Linked DNA regions of Caenorhabditis elegans. The protein of the gene in region 1 interacts with the protein of each later gene in a pairwise test. Each region holds a gene or a part of one and is shown on either strand. Other genes may lie near its edges.

Region 1 (4,263 bases):
CAGCTTCTCTAGCAATTTCTCTGTCTCGTTCGATATTGGCGCTTCTTTTAGTTCCCAAATATACAAAATACAAGACTATAGAGAAAACGAATGGGAGAATCATTGCAGGAACCTGATCCATGAATATTACAGTTGTTGAATCGAGCTGCAATTTTTTAAAATTAATTTAAAGAAATATATTTTATTAAAAACTAACCTCGAAAAAGTAAATTGTAGATGCCCTTCGACAGGAGTGATAAAGTACAATCCATGAAAGAATTAAAATGCTCGCCGATGCGGCAATCTTTGCCACGTCGTCTCGCATTTTTGGTGGCGAATCCTGAGCTTTTTTTGAATCAGTACACATACTTTTTCTTTCTGGGAATAGCACGTGCTAACTGTGAGACGATACGAAAACAAAAATGGCAAGAGACGAAGAGAAATCAAGTAGAACCGTACTATATAAAGACCTGTTTATCCTTTGCCATACGAAACAAAAAAGAAACGTGCGTTGCTGCCGGTGGGACGACACATAAAGAGAAATAAAGAATGTGTGGGAAAATCAATCTTCTACTGCTGGCCGGTGACCAACATTTTTAAAGAGCACCACAAACACGTGCTGCTCTCTAGTTCTCCAAGCAGTTGTTTACACATTCGAAAACGCTCTCACAGAGCAAAAAGTCGCACAAAATAAGGTCTCCCTGGATTTCCCCGTTCACAAATTACCGAAATATTACTTTTATTTTCCGACAACAGTTTATAAAATGGATGAAAGTTCACGATTTTAGGTTACAAAAAGAGGAACAAAATAAAAAAAGACAGAACAGTGAAAGGTAATAATGGTAAAATTCGGTTAAACAACAAAGAAATTAAATTTAGTGAAAACTTTTTTAAATCATTGATTCGAGATTCTTCGGAGGAATTAGGGTTGCAAATTGATGTTGTGGAGAAGATACTGTATGGTCTTGGATCTTCCACAATTTAGTGCGGAGAAGCAGAACGGCTGCGAGAACGGCTTCGAGAGCGGGAGCGACTCTTCGAGTGAGAACGATCACGTTCTTGAGGAGATCGAGATCTGAAATTTCTCATTTAAATTTAAATAACTATATCCAAAACTCTTACCTTGAACGAGTACGTTCTCTTTCGCGACTGCGTTCACGACTGCGATCTCTGCTTCGGTCACGACTGCGATCACGGCTTCTGTCGCGGCTGCGATCACGTCCACGATCACGAGAGCGTGAACGGGAACGTCCACGGTCTCCTCGGTATGGCGATCTGAAATAAACAATGTTAAAACATTCCGAATATTGCATATTTGTCGAATACATCTTTCCTGCAGATGGCAGCATAAAGAAAGGTAGATGTAACTTTCTTACTGAATGGGAAGATTCAGCCGACGAAGGCATGATGAGACGATTTTGTCAGAAGCTCGATTCAGGAACTACTGCGGAGAATTAACTGATGAAAAGAGTCAAAAACAATTCTGGTGCGATGATTTTGGGAGAAGTAAAGGGCGCGTAGCGATGTGGAAGAGAAGAATGTGTCGTGAAGACAGAAGACGGAGAGGAGTGGAAGATAGTGATGTTTGGGATGGCAGATGGGGACGCGGACGAGCGGAGTCCGCTAAAATTAAAAATTTGGTCCACGGTTTTACCGAATAAAATTTTTAATACAGCTCTCTTTTCCTTTAACTATCAAATTATTTTCAACTAACCTGTCTCTTCCGCCACCACCTCGGCCGCCGAAACCTCCACCACGACCGCCACCGCCACGTCTTTGTCCAGTTGAAAGTTCAACACGAGCACGGACACCACAGATTCTTCTATAATTTTGAAGCATTAAACGAATATCCAAAGCAAACAACTTACGATCCGTCAAGAGCGCGGACAGCATCTTCAGCGTCACGAACGTCGTCGTATTCCACGAACGCAAATCCAGGAGGGCGACGAGCTACCCAAACCTTACGGATCCTTCCAAATCGATCAAAAATCTCTTCGAGCTGAAAAATGTATATTTACATAATTACTGTTAATGGCTCAAGATTGAACTCACTTCTTGTGATGTTGCATCACTCGGCAGACCGCCGACGTACACCTTGGCGTCCATACTGAAAAATCAAATTAATTTATGAAGTTGCAAAAGAACGAAGTTTGAATATTCAAAAAATAATTATTGAGAAACAAAAATAAGTGTGAAACGGAGATAGCTCGAGAGCAACGCGCGCGAAATGATTTCAATAAACGCGACGCAGCTGCTCGCGATGCGTGTAGTACGGTAACACTTGTTTCAGCTGTGCAGATTTCCTAATGTCGGGGTGAGATAACGGCGCGAATTCGAACGAAAATTTCAGTTGCAATTAATCTTTTTGATAAATGCATTTTATAAATAAGCCGAATTTGTTGCACTGTATAACGGATACATGTATTAATACAGAAATTGTGCAATAAAAAGTAAACTCGAATGCATCACATTTACACTTAATTTTTTAAAGCATGCCTTGTTGCATGTTTCCACTAAAATATGTTTTATAAAAAAACCGAAATGATAACTATCTTCTGAAAATATACATACAAATGTGAAAGTAGAATTGTGCTGAATTTATTTCTAAGTAGAAATAGCAAAACCAGTCAAAGTTTCAATTGATTTTTATATATCAATTGCAAATTTATGAACCAGATTATCAAATTAAAATTATTTGCTCAAACACAAAAAACATAGACAAGCCATTAAACCAGCTAAGCAACACATTTCGCCTCCTCCTCCCCCGTGCTCCCGTTCACGATGATGATGATGGTGATGGCAGTCGTCAACTCTGAAAGAAATAAGTCAATATTATTAATTTTTCGCGAAATATCGAATAGAACTCACATGACAGTTTGAGGCTGTTGATAATATACTGCATATGCTGGTTGAACGCCTTGTCCGATGGGAACACCGGGTTGTACTGTGTAGACACCTTGTGGAGGTTGTGGATATGCGTTATAAGCCTTGAATCATTTTCGGTTTAGTTTTTTTCAAAGATCGAACTCACTTGATTGTAAGGTGGCGGTGGTGGTGGTGCGCCGCTCATTGTCAAATACTGAAAATATAGTGATAAGAGAATGACGATTCAAAGACGACGAGTTTATAAAATACTCCTTTTCCTTATTTGCCTTTCGCTGATTCATCTAGAAGTGAAGTGACGAAACTTAGTTATCATTTTAATCGGGTTGAATATAAAGTAAAAGACCAGTCACACCTTTTTATTGCATTTGACATGAAAATAATGATAAATTATAATTGTTATAAGTTAAATCATGCTCTACACATTTAGAAAATCCGGTTTAGAATCGGTTCGCAGAAAATTATATTTTTTGTACGTAGATTCAGATTGAAGTTGGCGATATAAAGCAACTGCCAGTACAATGATAAGAATGACAAAAAATGAGAAGAAATTTGATATTTGTTGGGTAGATTGCGCAACTTCAAGTTGTTCTAGTAGGTTGAATTTGAGATCCTTTGAGTGATAAAGCATTGCTCCTAGAGCCCATTGCATTTCTTCACCGGCTATTTTCAGAACACTCTGAAAATATTTATCTTGAATGTAAGATGTGTCTTTAAAAATTCATACCTGAAACAAATGCTTGGTTTTATCCACATTAAAACCGTCATGAAGTACACTGGTCACCCAAGCAGCTTTGAAACAGTTTGTTCCAAGTCGTTCAATGTCAGCGTTGGGAAATTCATTTCTTTTGAATCCATCTTGAATATCATTCCAATCTTTTTGGCAGTATTTTCGAACTTCGTCCGTAAATTTTTGATAATGATATTCGCCACCAGATCCGAAATTGCTTGTCGTATACCAGTATTCTGAGAAGCCATACAATTGAACAGTTGATAGGTTAACTGATGGAGCAATCACGTTACGTAGGAAACATGTTGGGTTTGGACAAGAAGGTTGAGCTTTATCACCGATTAAAGATGATACTTGTGCAAGACAAACGTCCCATTCTCCGGTACCCTGTAAATTTGAATAAATTTGAAAAAATAGTAGTTTCTAAACTTACATTAACTGTGAACTCTCCAATTAACCTGTTAAGACCTCTGGGAGAGCACGAATCATTTGAATTTCCAGATTTAACAAGCGAATTTTCATACTTTTTCAGGCCTTCATTTGCTCCATAACCAAGGAATGTGGTAGAATAAATCTTATACTTGTAGTCCTCATTGGTTTCAATCGATCCTAAATTGATCTCATACACATTTCCGCCGTTGTACGATTCCTTTTCATTTGCAATTTCAAAT
Region 2 (3,889 bases), on another chromosome or scaffold:
ATGTATTTTTTTCTTTTGTGAAACACATTCGGTTTTCACTTGAAAAAACTACAGATATCAAATAATTACTTAAATACAAAAAATTAGCTAAATAAAATAATCCAAACTCTTCTTTTAAAAAAAAACCAATTAAAAACGAAATATAATTTTTTCTCCACATAAAATCGCGTAAAACTCACAGCAACACGATCATACTCCTGCTCACATGCGATACGAATAGTCGCGAATTCTCTTTGAAGAGGAAGTGGCTCTTCTGGAAGGAATTTCTGCTTCAGTGGAGCATTATCTTCAGCATAAATCGGAAGTTGCTCAATCTTAATAGGTTTTGAATCTCCATTATTCGTCGTGTTTTTCGAGGTGACAAGTTGCCAGAATTGTCCAAAAACATTTGTCACTTGTTCACCGGCGTTTGAAATTGTCTCCACAATCGGCTTGTCTTGTGTCATCTGGAAAATCAAGCGGTAAAACAATAAAATAATAAAACAAGAATAAATATTTTAAAATTGATTAGCTTATTATAATTATTAAAAAACCATGAAGAAATAAGTATTCCTACATTTGTGGCGCAAAATATCTCGTAGCGCAGGCTCTGTGTCGATTTACGGAGTTTGTGTTTATTCACGATGCGCCTTTAAACAATTATTTAAAATTGATTTTCTTTGTATTTAATTACCACTTTTTCATAAATCGACACCGACGCCTGCGCTACTATATATTTCGCGCCAGGCTTTCTTGTTTTTTTTTTAAATATTTTCTAACATTTAAACCCCTCTGAGGACGGTTTTAAAATTAAAATAGATAATTAACAGGCAATTAACCATGTCTTTAACCAATCCAAATTACCCTTAAAACACCCAAAATAATTTATTAAAAAAACGAAAATTGGGGAGATCTTTTGCATAACAAAACAGAAGAATAATAAACAAAGGATGTTCAGAATTTGGACAGTTTAGAATGGGGTTTTAAAATGGAACGTCAGTAATGGAAGTTTAAGAACGCGATCTTCTGCCGGCTGGAGAACGAGAGCGGCTGGCACGGCGGAATCTGTTGGGCCCTCCAAGTGGCATATTGTTGGCTCCTGAGCCACGGCCGCCCATTGGAGAACGTCTGCGATGTGGTGGTGGACTGCGGCCTCTGGAATTTGATGAAAATTATCAAAATATACTACTTTTCCTTGATTACTTACCCTCTTCTCATTGGTGACATTCTGTCTCTTGGTGGCGGCGAGCGTCTTCTAAATGGAGAACTTCTACGCTGGAATGGGACAGATTGTCGTCCGATAGTCATTTCGACGTGAACAGCCATTCCATCGATTTGTCCTCCATCCATGTGCTTGATCGACTTTTCGGCGTCTTCCAAATTGTCATATTCAACGTATCCATATCCACGATGAACATGGTTATGGAAGCGATCTGGTGGAAGATCGACATTCTTGATGGCTCCGTAGATCGAGAAAATCTCCTCGAGGTGCGTTTTCAGAACATTTCTGCTCAAATTTTTGATCACTACACGCTTGGCCGGACTGGCTGATCTTGCTGCTGGGCTTCTCCTCGGAGAAGCGCGTCTCCTCTGACGGCTCCCGCTTCTGTCACGACGATCACGACGTGGTGGCGATGGGGATGGACGACGGCGACGTGGTGGTGATGGTGATGGTCGCATTGGGCGATCGCGATCCGCGCGTGCTCCTCTTGGCGGTGAACCACGACGGATTGGAGAACGAGAGCGTCCTCCACGAGCTGGTGGGCGGGTATCACGACGACGTGGTGAGCGAGAACGAGAACGGCCACTGGACGATGAGCTGGAGGAGCGAGATCCTGATGAACTACTTCTGAAATATCGATTATTAAGCTATTGTATGAAAATTGTAAAGCATACCCAGAAGATGACGATCCAGAGCTACTGGACGAGCTGCTTGAAGACGAGCGAGCCCTCTTTTTGGTTTCTTCTTTCTCAACCATACTGAAAAATTATTTCATATACTCGAATAGACATCAACTAAGTAAGAAAATTTTCACCGCGTGGTGTTCGAGCAGAAGAAGAGACAGAATGTTGGCTAAAGCGCTTACTTTTTTGAGTAAATAATTAACCAAAAACAAGAATTACGGATTTTCAAATAAATTTTTAATTGAAAAACAAGAAAAAACCTATAGAAAAACTATAGAATTGAAAATATCGAATCATTTTTCGAAGAGACGCGGGTGAATGATTTACGGTAAACAACGCGCGCGGTGGAATATCGGAGTGTCGTTGCAAAACAAAACACTTTCGTTTTTTTTTTCAATTTCAAAATGGACTCTGCAGAATCTGAACTTTTAGAAGAAGAAGAGCTCCCAGAAATCAAATATATCGACTCTGCAGAATTCCAAAATTTCGATAATAACGCTGATCAGCGTGAAATTCAGTTTCGATGGATGGAAGCATTTGAAACAAAAGGTAATTTTTTCCCAAAAAAGTATTTTAGCACTAAATTCTTTTGCAGAACCAAGATGGTTTAGGCTTCTTGACGAATTCATCACTCCACTTTCTGGAAAACGTGGATATTGTTCTCGAATCGTCGAGAAGTACGCTCGAGTACTTCTTCATCAAGGATTTGAGTTGAGCCAGACGGATGGGCCGCTTCGTGTCGCAGCAATTGCGGCTTCGAGAGATGTGGGACAAGCCGGAAATCTTCCATCAGTATTGAACAATTTATCAGAAGTTACAAGACATCTGAATCTTGCTCAGTATGCCAGCACATCGCTCGCCACTGTAGGACAGAGGAAATTCGCAAATGAAGTCGTCCAGTGAGTGATTTTTTTTAAAATTTTATCTTTTCAATGGAAATTTCTTTCAGAAAAACTGTGAATCAAGAGCGCCTTGGTTGTTTTCACCTGTTCCTCATTGGATACCGCGAAGGACTCGAAAATCTTCTCTCAAATCATCGACACCTGCGAAATTTTCGATATAGTGCAAAAAAACGGCATGACCTTCTGACGGAGCACATTAAGAATATATTTCAAGAGCGAGATTCGTTTATTCAAGCACCAGAAGCTAGCAGCTTCGCACTTCAGACGGTTCTAGAAAACTGGACATTTCCACTTCAAAATGAACAAATTGTACAACTCGCCCATGCGAATACTCTTCAAATGCGCGCTCTTCACGTCAAAGGAGACGGTTTTTATTTTCTAAACGAAGCACTCAATGTGGCTATTGCATTCAACTGGTCCAGCTCCCAGGAAGAAATGGAAGAATTCTATTCAATTTTTACTCCACAAGCGACAAATCCACGTGGAAAACGAATTTTTCAATTTTGGAAAATGATTTCCAAGTACGATAGGAGTAATGGAAATGCACAAGGATTCTTGGTGACTGCTCAGCGATTAGAAGAGGAATCCAAGTCAGATGATATTGGAGCTGGATGTGTGACAGCTGTGGAACTTGCGTGTAAAATTCGCAACCAGTGTGATCAGCATGAAGACTTGTCAGTTTTCCGCTGGATTCCAGAGTTTCATATTTAGCAGGCCCAAAACGAATGCTTGGCAGATCCAAATTTTTCGCTCAATAAACAGCAAATTTACCTCTCTTTTCGTTTTCTCCTTCAATAAATCGAGACAGTCTGTCTGCTTTGGTCAGCTAAACATTTAGACCAAAGTTAGGTATGATAAATATTTAGCAGACCAAAGTTAGGTATGCTAAATATTTAGTAGACCAAAGTTGGGTATGCTAAATATTTAGCAGGCCAAAGTTAGGTATGATAAATATTTAGCAGACCACAGTTAGGTATGCTATATGTTTAGCAGACCAAAGTTGGGTATGCTAAATATTTAGCAGACCAAAATTAGGTATGCTATATATTTAACACACCAAAGTTAGGTATCCTAAATATTTAGCAGACCAAAGTTGGGTATGC

What was found.
Region 2: the proteins of rsp-6 (region 1) and rnp-5 interact in a two-hybrid assay, tested with the Caenorhabditis elegans proteins (one large-scale study listed by BioGRID).

The regions. Positions count from the first base shown.
Region 1 is NC_003282.8:7,789,144-7,793,406, forward strand, and holds rsp-6 (putative splicing factor, arginine/serine-rich 6), read right to left. Parts: upstream 2,087-4,263; 5' UTR 2,086-2,086; coding exon 2,032-2,085; intron 1,979-2,031; coding exon 1,848-1,978; intron 1,802-1,847; coding exon 1,694-1,801; exon of another isoform or gene 1,255-1,693; coding exon 1,102-1,254; intron 1,055-1,101; coding exon 961-1,054; 3' UTR 704-960; downstream 1-703. Other genes in the region: imp-3 (IntraMembrane Protease (IMPAS) family), read right to left, coding at 1-145, 197-346; C33H5.13 (CYSTM domain-containing protein), read right to left, coding at 2,671-2,791, 2,848-2,966, 3,011-3,049; Nucleoside-triphosphatase ntp-1, read right to left, coding at 3,281-3,541, 3,590-3,979, 4,026-4,263. UniProt on the Caenorhabditis elegans protein: Plays a functionally redundant role in shifting germ cell sexual differentiation in hermaprodites. Required for the development of somatic gonad structures and for progression from larval stage to adulthood.
Region 2 is NC_003281.10:851,951-855,839, forward strand, and holds rnp-5 (RRM domain-containing protein), read right to left. Parts: upstream 1,960-3,889; 5' UTR 1,959-1,959; coding exon 1,876-1,958; intron 1,829-1,875; coding exon 1,187-1,828; intron 1,135-1,186; coding exon 990-1,134; 3' UTR 851-989; downstream 1-850. Other genes in the region: moma-1 (MICOS complex subunit MIC27), read right to left, coding at 180-446; tag-51 (uncharacterized protein), read left to right, coding at 2,289-2,433, 2,480-2,783, 2,834-3,460.